Kluyveromyces lactis: one gene and its partners. The protein of the gene in region 4 purifies or fractionates together with the protein of the main gene of each other region. This does not show direct contact. Links are inferred from orthologs where the notes say so. Each region holds a gene or a part of one and is shown on either strand. Other genes may lie near its edges.

Region 1 (4,036 bases), on a different chromosome or scaffold from region 4:
AAATTTCCCTGATTCAGTAGATATGACAATATATTTAACATTTGTACCGAAATTGCAACTACAGACAGCATTAAAGACCTCTTTAGCAATAATCACGACCGTATTCCCATTGTTTGTTGCCAATAGCTTATCATCGCGAATAGCTGATAGACTGGTTTCTTTATTAGCTGTCTTTGAAATAACATATGATAACGAATTGTCCGTTGTATCTGAAAGGATCCGTTGTGATTGATAACCAACGATTTCGTACTTCTCACTTGCATCTTCATCCTCATCTTCATCCTCATCTTCATCCTCTTCTTCATTGCCAGCGTTTTTAAGTTCGTCATTAACAAGGGTATACTTTTTCTCATTGAACCAGTTACTCCAGGACAAAAAGTTATCTAATTTGCCGATTAGGAGTTGCCCTTTGCTGGTTATGGAACAGCAGCCGTTGCGCTTGATATCATCCGTGATAAAAGCATTTATATGTTTCAAGGTTATCCCCTCATCTGTTTTCAAAGGACGTAATGTGATTTTATCATCAATTTCGTAAGTTACCCAAGATATGCTTGAATTCAATACCACTAGTGGAGTGAAATCCGAAATCTTCTTCTTGAAATCGTCTATTTTTGAATCATTTTCTCCAGGTTCATCATCATCATCATCTTTGTGATTGATATCTATATTGTCCAAGAGATTTACCTGGACGGGCTTCGTTCCGACAAATCTAGTACGTACATCGAACACTGTGCCATCATTGATATTGAGTTTAGATGACAGATAAACACCACTTTTCATACCTACGTGGATCTTAAGATCCGACGTGTCCCGCATGAAAAGTAGAGAGTGCGGTTTTGATATTAGTGACTGAATAGCACAGATAGTGAAAAAATCTGGATGTTTACTCTGTAAGTTGAGAATCTGCAGACTAGAATCTTCACATCCTAATACACAATAGCCTGACTTTTGACCGGCGAGCAATGCAATAGAATTCACTGTAGAATCCATCTCCACTCGATCCTGTAATTCGTTTAACGAATCTTCTATGATTTCAAAATAGCATATTTCATGATTTGTTAAAGCGACAACTAACTGTGTCTCATTACAAAATGCTGTCACGATGCCAACACCAGCTGGTGGATACCATTCAAGTTTTTTGGTGTATGGACCATCATGCATTTCAATAATTTGTAAAAGACAATCCCGAGTAACTTGAATAATACTTCTTTGAACCATAGCGCCAACAAACAATGATGGTTTGTTCAAAATAAATGGGTTTGAATCTCCACCAAAATCTTCGACAGTTCCCTCATGGATCTTCAAGATGGTCGTTGAGGTTTCCATAGAAAGAAATATCAGACTGTGAGTTTCGTTTTTAGGAATTCTAACGGTCCAAAGTTTTGATGGTATTCTAGGTAATGTAGTTGATATAAGTTCTTCAAAATCAACCGCAGAAGTCAATTTAACAAGATTCTCAGTTTGATTGGCTGCAGCCAATATCGTGAGTGGTGTCGAATTTGATGCATGAAATGACGTCAAGGGATTTAAAGAAGTTAAGGAGTCAAGAATGGATAGGTTTTTCAAAGTGGACTCTGTTTCAATAAATGATCTCCTTCCCGGGGTATAAGATGTAATTTTTTCTAGATCTTCACCAAGACTTTCGAACTGTGTTAAATAAGAGGTCCCGAATTCTGATACGTTGAAAAGAGCACCTGACTTGAAAATGTGGATGTCTTCAGAAGTGGGGAGTGTATCAAAGTATGCAATTTCAAGAACTGGCGCCTTAGTTTCTTCATCAGGGATAATTCCGACCTTGTACATATCTCCGTGGTTAGACTGCATTAGGATGAAAAAATCTTTCTTCAATTTATGAATAGTACCGTTGATGATATTAGTTGACGAAACAGTTTTTCTGACGGGGAGTTGAACAGACACTTCATAAAAGCCTTCTAAGTCTATCAGAGTCAAGTATCCATCATAACCACAAATAACAAATGGATTTACCGAATCTTGATCAGTTTCATCATTCGGTCTAGTTTTAATCTTATACTGTTGTAAATTTGGGCATTGCATAACGAAATTGATGGATTTATCCTCTAAAAGATGCTCTTTCCGGAGTAGCAACGTGTTAAGACCCAAATCCATTGTATAAAAAGACAAATAGTAATCATTTGTCCCAGATTCTACCTCTATGGCAGCATTCACCGGATTATCAAAACTTACATCACAAGCTGCCGATGCCAAAGTGATTCTATCACTTCGTTGAATCTCTATAGGAGAACCAACAACCAATTTCCCACGTTGCCAGTCAGCCAACACGCACATCTTTGAACGCTCAATCCCACTGAAAAATACACATCTACTCTGTGGATCCGAAACCATTTGATATTGAGGTACAAACCTTCTGATCCCAGATCTGGAAATCGGTTCGTTTGCCAAAGTACGCACGTACACTTTCCCGCTCACGGAATCCCTCTCAAACTGCCAAAATGTTAAATTCCCAGAATCAGTTATCAACACCAAAATCGTATGTGAACATCTATCCATATTCAACTTGGTCATAGAAAGAATAGTAGCTGCTATAGGCCATTTACCCAACGCATCCAATGTTCCATTGCTAACATCGTACAATTCGACACAATCCTGTGTAGCTAGACATAATTGCAGTTCCTTCCGCTTCTTCGATGACCTCGGTCCCTTAACACTTGTTGTATCAGCTTCTGCTGTCGCTAATGATGATCTATCCAAAGTAAAATCACCGATGCAGGAATGAACGTAGTTCCTATGTCGTTGTAAAACAGTGTGCCATAGCAACACTTCAGAGTCCTGAGTCATCCGATCTTCGTTAGCGGGTAACTAAACACACGCTTCAGACGATGATCAGAGGTGTATACTGATGGTAATCAGTAGTGTTGTTCGTCAACTTGCACTCAAGAAGTGCGCTGTTGTTAGTTACTTTGTTTACTTTCAGATTTGGTTTTTTGCCGCCCTTATGAAGAAGTTAGGAAATACTATTTCAAAAACTTACACGTGACCAACAAATCCCAAAAAGTCAACAACATGTTACCCTGACATCACGTCACACGAAAAGATGCGATCACGTGACCAGAATGACATGAGACTCCACATTGTTTCGGAAAAACTTCTGTTGGAGCAGGAGCGAAGTGCTCGTTCAAAGCGGAATAAGAAAACACAGAAACATACGCAAAGGCTGTTTATCGCTCCATATGGACGGAAAAACTTACGATGAAGAGAGCGTACAGGCATGCTTGTACGTTGAGAAAGAAAGGCACACAGTCATTGTTTTAATCCATTACGAGATCAGCATGTAATTCGATACTACTTGTTCCCTTACCGGCACTGGCTCTGGCACTGGTGTCGTTAAACGGTATCACGTTTTGGTAACCCCACAAATGTGCACCTGATGGTGCAGAAACGTAAATATGGTTCACCAAGTTCAAAGCACAAGGCGTATTACGCTACTAACTCTAAGTAGGTGTTTCTCTTCTTCAGAAAAGAAAAACACCGTATGAGGATTCAAATGCCATAGCTTGACTGGTAGACACTCTGTATTGGTTTTTTTGACTTTCTCTTCTGGTCAGAGGAGCAAGTATGAGAAAACTCTTTGTCTGTCTCTACACGTTGATTTATACATTGTTACTGGGGAAATATTAATCGGCCGCATACAGATATCGGGTGGACTCATATTGGCAGATCAGCTCTGTGTGTGTGTTTATTTTTTTCTTCTTCCTCTCTGTGTGTCCGTTCCTTTTCACCAGGAAAAACCTTAATAATATATAATAACGGAAACATGACATATGCTAAAACTTGGTAAGTACGAAATGTTTTCTTCTAGGATAAAAGGCTGAACTCTAGAGTGTAATTTACTACACCAAAGCAAATTTGCCATCCGAACCAACCAGAGACGGTATAAGGTTAAGATCAGATTACAACAAAGCAGTGCTAGTTACTATACTCAGTACTTTTTCAAGATTTATCAGAGAGGAAGGCGAATATTTCCGGTTTTGTGGGAAAATTAACATCAATAACCAAT
Region 2 (4,106 bases), on a different chromosome or scaffold from region 4:
ATCTGGTTGAGCGACGTATGCTCCGTTATATAGTTTCCAATATGCGTTCCGAACATTCTTAGCAGGATGAAATAAACCTCCCCAGGCATAATTCATAGAAACACCTGGTCCTAGAGCCATTCTTAGTCCTTCTAGCCCCTCTAGGATTCTGGAAATAACATGAGGTGAAGTTTCAAAGACGTTTGGCAATAATAAATTCATGCAATGGATGAACGCGTCCTCTAATCCTCTTCCTGCACAATTGAAAGCTAAATGCTTTATGCAGGTTGCTGCAGTTTGTCGATGAACCAAGTCCCTATCTGTTAGAGCATCCTGCAACAACGGTATAAGTGGATAAATGTAATCCTTAGACATGGGACCAATGTATTCTAAAATAAAGGCAAGTGCCTTTAAAATACCGTTCTGTACGTTTGTGTCAGGTGTTCTGTATTCATTCATCAATGCAGGTATGACAACAAATGGCCCACATGTCTTAGCAACGATACCAATTGCAATAGAGGTGTTAACACGAAGTTGACGTTCTTGCACCTTCAAATTATTTAACAACGTTACCAAAACATCCTGAGGTCCTATCGCTTTGGCAATATATCCAAATGTTCTGTTCGCTGCCACCCTGATGGACTTCACAGGACTTTTTAACATTTCCAAAAGCTCAGAACAAATGCGCATCCATTCTTTAGGAGAAACATATTCAGGCCCACGCCTGGCAATTCTTCCAACAAGTTTAACAGTAGATTCCTGGACTAAAGGATGGTTGTTTCTCAAAATTGGTGTCAATGATAGTAAAATTTGATTCGGAGGTGGTTGTAAGTCAGTTAGCCTTATCTGTGCAGCAGCTTTGTCCATTGCGGAAATGATTGCAGCTAACACCTCTGGATAAACTTCGCCTAACGATTCAAAAAGGATAATGTTGAATTTATTGATAAGAGCTGTTTCTTCACAGTGTTTGAAAACCGGGATCAAGAGGGCACATAAACTCGCCGCATGTGTTCTAACCAAAGGTTTTTTGTGTTTCAAATGTTCTAGAATAATACTTGACACCGGCGAAATATACGGTTTCATTCTGGTATTCAAAGATTTGGCGACAGTTCCAATAGATCTGTAGACAATTCTCTCACCATTCGTTTGATCTTGGAATGCAATAAGTAAAGCATCAAGCAACCTCGCTTCAAGCCTTTCATCAACATCTGTCATTCCTAATGCTTTCACAACTCTGTTAACTGCATGTGCACCCATTGTTCTGAACGGTTCAGATTCATCCTTTAATGGATATATAAGCTTTTCAAGCGTGAATGCAGCTCCAGTCTTATTAGCCAATAAAACAGTAGTAAATGTTACTATGTTGTTGAGTTGACGATCCAAAGCCGATCTACGAACCCAAAATTGTTTGAAAAACTCTGCTGCTAGCTCTTTTCTCAGATACTGAGGTGTTACACCTTCAGTCACGGAAAGCTTTTGTATAACAAATAGAACCGTTTTCTTCATATCTTCGTTCGGTGAATTGAATTCTCTCTTTACAATCTTCATCACTTCTTCAGCGTAATACGACGCATATTCGGGATCCATCAACGGAATGAGAAATCCTAGAGCCTTCAAAAATGCAGCTAGTTCTCTTCCCCTGTTTTGTTTAACACCTCTCCAAAGTGGTTCGAGGACCGGATTAAAGCGCTCAATACCATATGGCTGGCAGCTTTGTGCCAATGATGACACTGTTTGAGCGGCTATGATTCTCACTGGAGGATGTTCATCTTGAAATCCCTTCTCTATACATGCGATAAGATCGTCGAGGTATGGTAAGCTACCAATCCCTACTAAAATAGCAATTTGCTGAATTATCTTTATCCCAGTATGTCTTGCCTTCCAGCTCTTTTTCGATCTACAAACCAATCGTAGGAATGGTATTGTTTGACTTACCCCGAAGGCTTTCGATACAACGGCCATTGCTCTCGCCGTCGTGTTTCGCACATACTCATCCTCATGGTCGAGATCTGGTCTCATTGTGTATATCATTGTCGGTAGTCCCACGGCTTTTGCCAAAGTAGTTATAATATCTCTACCTGTAGATCTAGTCAAGGGCACAGGATCTATAAGCATAGGACATAATACTATTAGGAGCTTATGTGTATATGGTTTTACCAAATCCTGGAGCTGGAAAAGAATTCTATCCATAAGTTTCAACATTAGTTGATGCTCTTCATCTTCAAGTGTTTTATCGAGAAGAATGGGCAAGATCGAATCAAATAACAATGGTGCCCCGAAAGAGGGTGCCTTTTGAGTGAGTGCTCTGAGAGCTATTTTCCTAGAGCTTGGTAACCCATTTTTCACCTTAAGTACCAATTTTAAAACCTGTTTCTGTTTCCTTTCCTCTTCAGTCATATCTTCTGGAGACCTTTCATCAAACAAAATTGCGAAATGTTGTCTGTCTGAAGGCTTAAAGAACTGAAGATTACGTACCCCTGGAACTTCAGTAACCATCTCTTCCGAGAGCTCAGTTATAATATGCTGCGAAGTCTTGGGCATCGTATATCCACCGCCACTTTCCTCTTCCTTATCACCATCCTTATCGGTTTTCCTTCTTTTCACATCTTTCACTTGCTCTTCATCCACTTCTTCATCCAAATTCCTAAGGAACCTTCTCTTATGATAATCAGACTGTTTATTATACAAGCTTCGTTGCTTCTGGTTGGCTGTCAACTCATCATCCCCCTCATCTTTCCCTACAGTCGATTCCAATATGGCTCTGGGAGCAGTGTATTGTCCTGTAAGAGAATGTCGCTGGCCCGACTTTTCGAACTTGATAGCTTCCATTTTAAGTACAGCTGTTTAATACCAAACTCGGCAATAGCAATAAAGATCCTGATTGGTGCTTGCCTTTCAGTTATACCTTTCTTCCTTTTGATTCAAAGGTTCTTGACATCAAAATTGTTACTAAGTTGTAACTCGAATCTTTAATTATAAACACATATACAAAACAAAGAACGATACTTCTCAACAGAGAAAAGAGGATAGTTTAGTTAAGAGGCCAGAAAATAGCCTAACTTTTAGAAAAGTATTATACTCTGGGTCCATACCGCATGAGGTTACAAAATTGGATTCCAGTTTTGCTTCTAGCAGCCATCGTGACGGCTGAAGTAGACTTTGAAGTTAATCCAGTTGACAACGAAACAGAATCAGTTCAGCAAGATGTTATAGATGAAAGCTGGAATGCAGAGCCTGGGGAATCATCGAGAATAACACAGTCCTCGAAGTTTCTTTCACTAGAGCATCCTATTGAGTATAATTTTCGAGAGCATCTGGATCTAACTCCCTTGCCTAACAACTTTTTGCTTGCAAGTTTTCAGTTCTATATGCAATCAGAGCCATTTGGTATAGATAGAGACCAGCACGAATCCAGTGAATACTCTCATCACACAGTTTTCCCGAAGCCCGTTGGGCCCATTATGTCACAGACTAATACCAGACAGTTACACTTGAGATTTACACATGGGCTATGGGATTCACAAGAATGGGGCCAGCTTCCACACAACGGGTTGAAATCTGGAGGAACAGGTGTGGAATTATGGGCTATTGTGGAAGCACCATCGAAGGAAGAAGCGTTGAAATCATGGATAACGTTGGCCAATTCGTTAAGTGGATTGTTCTGTGCTTCCATCAATTTCATTGACACTTCAAAGACGACGTTTCCGGTATCATCATTCTTACCGAAAGAAGACGAAGCGATCCCACTACTGAATCAAAGCAACCATCTTTACCTCATGAGAGCAACTTTAGCCAACGAACCGGTTTGTACTGAAAATTTGACCCCATTTGTAAAACTTTTACCAACAAGAGGGAAATCTGGTATCTCCTCTTTGTTAGATGGCCACAAGATCTTTGATTCAAATTGGCACAGTCTGTCGATTGATGTCAATACTGTTTGTGACGAATCAACTGCCAATTGCCACTTTGTTATGGAAGAATTTATCGAAACAGTGGTCAACGTACCAAATGCTTTGGCCAGAGCTGACAGACCAATTCCGAAGCCTTTACCAGGCGACGAACTTCGTTGTGACACGAATAGACCACACGACGCGTTCCAATGTTTCCCGTTACCTCAAAGCAAAGAA
Region 3 (3,475 bases), on a different chromosome or scaffold from region 4:
GATTGTGTCCAAGATCTTCAACGACTTCTTGTAATTTTTACCTTCATATAGTTGCAGTGCTTCCAACATATTGCTGTCATCCTTAGACCTACCAATTGGAAGTCCCACTTTCCCGTGAGATAGTCCCTTTTTTTTATACATGCTAGTGTAGATCAATGGGTCGCTGAGTGTAGATAAGCAAGCCAGTAAGAGTGTTTCTCCATTTATTCAGTCATGAATATGATTGTTGAACTTGATAATTTTCATGATTTAGACGTTGACTATTGTAAATTTTTCAGTTTAGAGATACATTGAAAATGAAATGTTTGGGTTTGAACGAACTGAAGGTAATAGTTAGCAAGCGGAGCTGGTACGATTCAAGGAGTTTATTACTCACCTACTGCAATAAAGTTAAAACATGTTGCAATCCAATGATACTTTTGATATAGTTACATACTCACATTTACAAATATTTTACGTAATTAAAGGGAAACAGCTGACACTTTTGAAACGTAGGGTTTCTAACGAGTTAATGTAAAGATCAAAAACGGAAGTCAGGCTCTTCTTCCACTTTCTGTTTTTTATGTAAGACATTATCATCGTCCTTCTCCTCTACGCTTGTTGATCGTTTGTTCGTAATATTGTAAGAGGTAGTGGAACTGATTATTGTAGATCCGTCGACTTCGTTTGATTTAGCTTCCGTTAGAACAGTAAATAAGGGTCTATTTTCATCATAGTGCTGGTTGACTACAGAGCCTCCATCAATTGGCACTAAGCCTGAATTATTGTTTTCATGTGTCTCGCTTTCTGTTTTTGTTGCTTCCGCTTCATTGGCGTCTGAAGACACCTCATCGTCGGAAATTGATTCGTTCAACGGATCTGGATCAATATGTGCGTCTTGATCTTCTAATTCTTCAAATGAGAACATGGCTCCGAATAAGTTTTGTTTGGGTATTCTCAAAGTATCTTCAGGGTAGTATCCGTATTGTGTACCGGTAAGATTAGAGATTTCCCAATTTATTCCACAGACTTTCATACCAGGGTATGATTTGGGTAGTCCTAATCTATTCATTTCATGACACCAAGGCGGGAGCATCCCCTCCGTGAGATTTAATGCCTCCCTTAAAGTTTCCGATAGATACCCTGGTCTATATCGTGTCTTTATTTGTTTCCATTCGAGTTCACTATCCAAACTTCTGTTTTCATAATATAAATCACCAAATGACAATAGTTCAGGTTTCCAATTCTTTCCCAAAGTGAAAAATGCTTCGTACAACCTTTTATAATCTAGATCTAATACACCTAGCTTGGGTTGAACTTTTGCTCTGGTAATATCCTTCAATTTCTCTGCTTGCTTTTCGTTTCCAGAGGGAACAGTCTCTCGCATCGTTTCAATATCGGTTTGTCTAATAATCTCAGGTAATTGAAATGGCTTCCTTTCCATCATTGATCGTCCAGATAAATAACCTCTTTTCATTTGCCAATGTCTGGGGATCCCCACTGTATTATGTGTTGTCTTTATAGCTGCATTGAAATAAGGCCATTGCGCATCGCAGTCAAACCATTCGATGAGTTCCGGATATGGTACTGAAGCTTTCAAAACAGCAATACTTGGTTTGTTAGCAAGTCTCTTTTGTCTTTCTGATATATTTTGAAGTACTTCATCCGCTTGATCCTCAAAACTGTCGGAACCCTCAGCATCCTCATCGTCAATATCAGCCCGTTCTTTTCGTACTATGGCTTGTTCCCGTTTTGAATCATCATCCTCATCGGCCCCTGTAGCCGAAGCTTTAAATCTTTGTAACACTTTATTGAGACTTTCATCCTTGATAACTAAAGGTTCATTAATTACCTGTTGCGAGGTGTTGCCATTCTCTGATGACACTTGTTGTAACAAACTGGAAAGCCTCTTCTTCCTTTCTTCTGCATCCTCTTTCACAGATCCATTTTTATTCTTTGAACGGCGTTTATTAGCCTTGGCTTTCTTTACCATAGTGCAATATCTGGTGGGCAGTTGACTGTTGTTATATTAATAAGCAGTCGAGCCAGAATACTATTGTATGCTCATCTGTCAATTTGCCTTTTTTATGTCCTTTATTAAGACCACATATATTTTTCAATTAAATGTTGAAATTTATACCATTATATTATACGTGAACAGATATGGCAACATTCAACGGTCTTGTATACATGTGATAGATGCTATATGACTATGGATAATAACGAATCACTCTTCTAAATTCTTGAGTCTATCGTTGATTGAATCGGCGAATTTGTTAAATTGTACATCATCGTCATTCACTTTCCGCAGTAAGTCCTGTAACTTTTGCTGAATATCTGAGGCTATCTCAAACACGGTGGGAACATCTTCGTTGGAATTACCACTATTTTCTGATCCTTTTGGTTCAGGGGTAACAATTGGTTGTGTCGAAATCATCTTTTGAAGTGATGACTGCATGTATATGGCTGTATGTAAGCTAGATCAATAGACTTCAAGGTATGTCGGTTCTATGACATTTACATTTTTTTTAGTTATTTGAATCCGATCCAAATTTTGGTGATACAAATGATACATGGAGGTGATGAGACTAACAATGGCGAGAACGCCAGCTGGTCTATTTTGTCCATGATAGCCTATTAGGTATACAGATGAGTTGGAAAGGGGTTTTTGCAAGTTCATTTCCCAAAGATACTTTACAGAAGTATATTGCTGCCAATGAGAGCATCGCCAACTCTACCGTTTTTCAAGGTACGCTATATGAGCTCACGGTGGTACGAGAATTAATGAATAAGCTCCGACTGGAGGATATGCAGGTAGTTGGCGGTTCATATGATGGCGGCATTGATATTCGGGGCAAATGGAACGTTTTACCATTAACAAAGGCTATAGAAATGCAAATACAATTCGATGAGCTACCTAAACGTTTGAAACTTCCGACTACATCGATAAAACCATGGAAACATAGGGTGAAACCCGATAAATATTTAGACTGTTACATTCAATGTAAGGCTTTCAATTCAGATAAAGTTACTGGCCGCCAGGTACGGGAATTAATTGGATCATTCTCCATGCAAGTTCCCGCTCGTAAAAGAAACTCGAGCATAATGATAATGAGCTCTCCAACTTTGTTTACAAAAGATGGAATAAGGCTGTTTAATGAGGCCGCAATACCAATGGTATTTACCAAAGTGGATATGATCCAGAGATTAGCTGATGGAAGCTTCGATGTGAAAAACTCGGGAAAACTACAGCATTATTATGAGAATGACTATGCATCGAAATTACTTGCAAATTGTGGAATCAAAGAATGGTTAAAATTGAAAGGTTATGAGTCCTTAGCACAAAAATGAAATATTAGCACGCAATTACGCTATCAGAAAAGTTTAAATAGAATGAAACCTGTACATATGATGAATGTAATAAATATGATATGCTAATTAATTTAAAGATGTATAAATTTATAAAGGTTGTGTATCTGATTATGCAGCGCATGAA
Region 4 (2,298 bases):
AATACTAAAGCTGAAAAGTAACCATGAACAGAATATGTCGAAATGGTATTCGCTACACTCACAGCTTAACATATACCTTGACACGGTACCCTTATCAACAAAGACTAGATCAAACTTAATCGATCATGTCAATGGTATAATAAAAAGAATAGAAATGGTCTCATATCAAAACGAAAGACTTGATATATACGTTAAACTCTTGAAGCTTGTATTTGGTCTGGAACCAAATCCAAGTGAATATAATCGATACGAAGCCAATTCCATCGAAGAGAGTTTCTTATTTAACCAATAATCAAAAAGTTTTGGCCAAGCTTCGATCTCGGAAATAGATTGAGCGATGGTTCAATGTTTTTACCGACTAAAACTTTAAAAGTATCATTCTCAGAATGCCATAAATTGGAAACGATGGAAATTAAGAATTCATGCATGTAAATATACAACACTGTATCAGCGTATGAACAGTAAAATAACAAATTATAGTTCCTTAAGATAGAAATCGATATCCTATACTCCTTTGCCGGTATCCGCCGTCTTTTTGTTATATAACCTGTCCGTCTTATTGCTACCCACATTCAAAATTCTGGGACAGCCATCTCGGCTTCGTTCAGATCTGTGGCAGTCCCAACAATATAACGCTTCATGCGTTCCAGGACTTCCGCAAATTATACACCTGCTTCCACTACTTCCAGAGGAGCAAGAGTCGCATATCCGTACCTTAGAAATTAGCCTTACATCTGAATCACATAAGGGACATCTTCCATCACATCTATCACAAACCTTCCCTACAGAGGTTCCAGGAAGTTTCATGCACATAACCAAGTCGTACTGATGGCGAGACATCTTAATCCAGTGATAATAATAGTAATATAAATAGATTAATAAGACCTGACGGTGTATGGGGAAAAACACTTAGTTTTCTGTTCTTTGTTTTAATATGTGGGTTCTTTTAGTTTTGATATCTAAGGTACAATTTTATAGAAGATGGGCTTAAGTGGCAGCCGTTGATTTAAACAGGAACTGATCTACAGGATAGGCCAAAAAAACGAAGAAAAGTAGGTTTGGAAACCGTTCATATTATATGACCCTCCGAGCAACTACATTATATATCACAAGATGATTGAAATATGTGGTATTTGTTTGGAATCTATGAATGAAACTGATCAAGGGGAGCTTTTACCCTGTGAGCATAGATATCATGTTTCTTGTATTAGGAAGTGGCACTTATATTCGAACGATTTTAAGTGTCCTACATGCAGAAAAGAGTCCAAAAGCCTTCGCCGTAAACATGATGATATCGAGATTGATTTGAAGTACTGGTGTAATGTGTCGTTGATCGAGCAGTTTGCCAAGCTTCGATTACTGAATGATGATGAGCAAGAAGCAGTAGCAGCGATAGAAGAGGAAGAGGAAGAAGAAGAAGAAGAAGAGGAAGAGGAAGAAGATCCTAATGGCAATGGTGACCAGGATACACTACAATCGGAAGAGATCGGACATCAGCCACAGAATAATAATGGCATGCAGGGAGTAGAGCTCTTGCAATGTGCCTTATGCGGTGAAATTGATGATGACATAACGTTATACTGTGAATCATGTGAGACGTTATTCCACTCTTCATGCCTGAATGAGTTATTGTGCGAAGTCGGTGAGAAAGAATGGTGTTGCATAGAGTGTGATGGTACTCTTTGTAGACTACGTGGGAACAAAGTATCTTCAATGGTAATACGAGATTCGAACGTGAGAATTTACGATGGAAGGATGAGAGATAAGCGAAGTATTCTTACTGAATGCATTTACAATAGATTCGCACAACCTTACACCATCAGTTACGAGGACAAATGCAGGATACAAGGATACGTACGAACAGAGTTGGATAAATTCTACCACCGCGGATCTTTATCGAAGGATCGATACATCGCCATAAACAAAATGGTGTCACGGAAGTTATATGGGTTATCTTCAACTGGGTTCGATCCCAGCAGGATAAATTACGAGGAGCAGGCTAGGCTCTCCATCAGGGAAGTTATGTAATTGTTAATATATTTTGATATCTTTTTGGTAAATAATAATTCTGCCTGTGCATATTGAAAGTTACCATTCGAAACAGAATGCTAGTCCCATCAGCAATGGTATTCTATATCACGAAATATAAAGCTTATCTTCTTCTAGAAGGTGCCTTAGGTTTATTGAATTTTGGTTTGGCAGCGGATTGGGTATTAACTTCTGCACTTTCATCGTTAAATTCTGAGAGATCTAGCTCATCAGAATCACCAATTTCAAATGTCCTCTTGATTTCGATAT
Region 5 (2,361 bases), on a different chromosome or scaffold from region 4:
TCATCCCTGATCCCACCTCCACCTCCATTGCCTACGTCGATTACTGAAGGGTCTGGTGCCCCACCAGTACCTATCGCCCCACCATTGCCTCAAATAAACAGTGACGTAGCACCTGCTGTTCCTGTGGCAGCTCCTTTACTAAAAGTAGGAGGAACTGCAACTTTAGCAGAGAACGAAGAACCAAAGCCGGATGATGCATCCGACGTACTATCTATCCCAGAGTCGGTGGCCTCTGATGAGGAAGATAAGTTCCATACACCAGGTGCTGAAGATGTATCTGTCGCACCTACTGGCGCAATCCCTCCCGCTCCTCCCGCTCCTCCAGTGCCGGTCATCCCTCCACCACCACCGATGCCATAAGTTATATGCTCTCGCGTCCGTAAATTCATGTATCTAAATTATTGAAAAGTAGTTACAGGATATGTACATAAATATCATTTGAAACTAAAAGTCTACGTTGTCATAAAAGAACTGCTCCGTACTTGTTCCTTTAGGAATGTGAATTTCATTTCTTCAGAAACGCAGCCATTGGATCAGCAAACTCATCCAACGGGTCAGCCACCGATTCTTGCTTCATGGGTTCACTCGGTACGTCTCCTGTTTTTGCGAAATCCTTCTCCAACTCTTGTCTTACAGCTTCCTCGTACTCAGCTTCATCGGATCTTGGCCTATAAAAAGCATGATCTACTCGTATCAGTCTTCCACAAACCTTGGCTCCATTTAGGTTATCCACCGCAAGTATAGTCGATCTTTGATCTTCATACTTGAGAAACCCGAACCCTTTAGATTTTCCAGTTGTCTGGTCGCGTACAAGTTTGATGTCCACAGGACAGCCGTACTGGGAGAATATGGTGAGAATATCAGCTTCTGTCAATTCGAGGTGCATCCCTCCAAAGTTTATGTAGGCCTGATCTTTATACTCATGATGCCATGAGCTTTCTGGCTTTAGAATCCCACATTCCAACTCCCTTTCACTAAGTTTCTGTATCGACCTTATCTGATTCATAATTGATAATCGTATTGGATCTTCACTTCCAAATATTCACAGTTGAACCAGCCTCCCAATGACCGCAAAGTACCAGCTCTATTGGTTATTCCTTATCCTTTCTATCAGAAAATTGCAGCTCCTTTTCGGTAACCGTCAAATTCTTCTCCGGTTCCTCCATTCGTGCGTAACACCTTCAATTGTCTTCTTGTTCTTATATAAACGAACTTTCAAGAAACTTATTCAAATCTTTAACACCTTTAAATTATCAACACTTTTCCATCGCTCGAAAGAAGTTAAATCCAGAGTTTATGCACTACCGGGATCGCTGCTGAATTATAATTCCCACACGCAGAATGTCAGAGTATCTTGCAAGGTTGAGACATTTCACTACTTGTGACATCTCAGATGGGCTATTGAATTTGTATGGAATCACTAATGGTGGATATTTCCCTAATTTGGTGAGAAGGTCAGGGTCTGGGACTATCGTGGGTAGGGCTTTTCCTGTGTTGTTCGGGCATAAAAATGCTACCCAAGATAAACCCAGTGTCAATTACATCGATAATGTGCCAGCAGAATCTATCGTAACCATCGGTATGACTGAAGATTTACAATTGAGCAGTGCTCCATATACCAAACCTATTCAGGGCATGTACGGTGGATTAATGTCTACAAGAGCAAAATATTTAGGCAGCCATGGTACGGTTGTATTTGGTAGAATCAGAGATATCGAAGAGCATAAGGCATTGGATCACAGCGTTTTCAGTTACGGTATCGGTACCTGTGCTCCAAAAGCAGTTTTGAAACCGATTTCGTATAACTGTGAGTTGAAGATTAAGATTAGCGATGGCACTACGGAGACAATTAATCCCGGCGATTATTTGGTATGTGATGATCATGGAATGGTTCGTATTCCAACTGCCGCCGTCGACTTAGATAAGTTGATCACATATATAGAAAAGTCTATCGAAGCCGATGACCTTGTTTCTCAAGACATAAAGGAGGGAAAACCTGCTGCTCAGTCTCAATCAGAACGTAGAGCAATTCTTAAACAATATTTGTAATTTACAGCCCTCCCCCGTTGATCGTCAGGAGTTGCAATATTCGGTTGCGTAGTCGAAAGTTTATCGCTATGTTAAATTAATATTATTGTCAATTAAGTAGCAAGCTATGTATGTATATATGAACATGATGCAGAAATAAAGAATGAAAAAACAAGAATTGGCAAGTGTTTATGCTATTATTAGGTAGGAAGCACTCGGTTTGAGAATATTTTGTATTCACTGTTTATTGGCAGTGCTGCTAGTGTGATGCTTATGACCCTTTTTCTTGCTTGCTTCCGCCACGAGCTCTTCAAACACTTGGGCATCCTCTTG

Evidence for each region.
Region 1: the proteins of RDS3 (region 4) and RSE1 purify together in Saccharomyces cerevisiae (affinity purification with mass spectrometry; 5 studies listed by BioGRID). This does not show direct contact. The link is inferred for Kluyveromyces lactis from reciprocal best matches to the Saccharomyces cerevisiae genes RDS3 and RSE1.
Region 2: the proteins of RDS3 (region 4) and HSH155 purify together in Saccharomyces cerevisiae (affinity purification with mass spectrometry; 4 studies listed by BioGRID). This does not show direct contact. The link is inferred for Kluyveromyces lactis from reciprocal best matches to the Saccharomyces cerevisiae genes RDS3 and HSH155.
Region 3: the proteins of RDS3 (region 4) and CUS1 purify together in Saccharomyces cerevisiae (affinity purification with mass spectrometry; 3 studies listed by BioGRID). This does not show direct contact. The link is inferred for Kluyveromyces lactis from reciprocal best matches to the Saccharomyces cerevisiae genes RDS3 and CUS1.
Region 5: the proteins of RDS3 (region 4) and IST3 purify together in Saccharomyces cerevisiae (affinity purification with mass spectrometry; 3 studies listed by BioGRID). This does not show direct contact. The link is inferred for Kluyveromyces lactis from reciprocal best matches to the Saccharomyces cerevisiae genes RDS3 and IST3.

What each region holds. Positions count from the first base shown.
Region 1 is NC_006037.1:720,998-725,033, reverse strand, and holds the start of RSE1 (U2 snRNP complex subunit RSE1), read right to left. Parts: upstream 2,818-4,036; coding exon 1-2,817. UniProt on the Saccharomyces cerevisiae protein: Involved in G2/M transition. Required for pre-mRNA splicing and endoplasmic reticulum (ER) to Golgi secretion pathway. U2 snRNPs associated protein required for the pre-spliceosome assembly.
Region 2 is NC_006037.1:834,355-838,460, reverse strand, and holds the start of HSH155 (U2 snRNP complex subunit HSH155), read right to left. Parts: upstream 2,809-4,106; coding exon 1-2,808. Other genes in the region: GPI-anchor transamidase subunit GPI16, read left to right, coding at 3,075-4,106. UniProt on the Saccharomyces cerevisiae protein: Contacts pre-mRNA on both sides of the branch site early in spliceosome assembly.
Region 3 is NC_006042.1:790,339-793,813, forward strand, and holds CUS1 (U2 snRNP complex subunit CUS1), read right to left. Parts: upstream 1,973-3,475; coding exon 521-1,972; downstream 1-520. Other genes in the region: peptide alpha-N-acetyltransferase complex A subunit NAT1, read right to left, coding at 1-141; BIL1 (Bil1p), read right to left, coding at 2,207-2,437; RRG7 (Rrg7p), read left to right, coding at 2,629-3,330. UniProt on the Saccharomyces cerevisiae protein: Essential splicing protein required for U2 snRNP binding to pre-mRNA during spliceosome assembly.
Region 4 is NC_006039.1:1,359,176-1,361,473, forward strand, and holds RDS3 (U2 snRNP complex subunit RDS3), read right to left. Parts: upstream 841-2,298; coding exon 505-840; downstream 1-504. Other genes in the region: Arf family guanine nucleotide exchange factor SYT1, read left to right, coding at 1-292; ubiquitin-protein ligase ASR1, read left to right, coding at 1,114-2,028; twinfilin TWF1, read right to left, coding at 2,153-2,298. UniProt on the Saccharomyces cerevisiae protein: Required for pre-mRNA splicing. Involved in regulation of drug sensitivity and may play a role in multidrug resistance.
Region 5 is NC_006040.1:1,156,986-1,159,346, forward strand, and holds IST3 (U2 snRNP complex subunit IST3), read right to left. Parts: upstream 1,007-2,361; coding exon 506-1,006; downstream 1-505. Other genes in the region: actin cytoskeleton-regulatory complex protein PAN1, read left to right, coding at 1-360; KLLA0_D13442g (bifunctional 4-hydroxy-4-methyl-2-oxoglutarate aldolase/oxaloacetate decarboxylase), read left to right, coding at 1,342-2,049; DJP1 (Djp1p), read right to left, coding at 2,266-2,361. UniProt on the Saccharomyces cerevisiae protein: Required for pre-mRNA splicing and spliceosome assembly. As part of the pre-mRNA retention and splicing (RES) complex, required for nuclear pre-mRNA retention and efficient splicing. Required for MER1-activated splicing.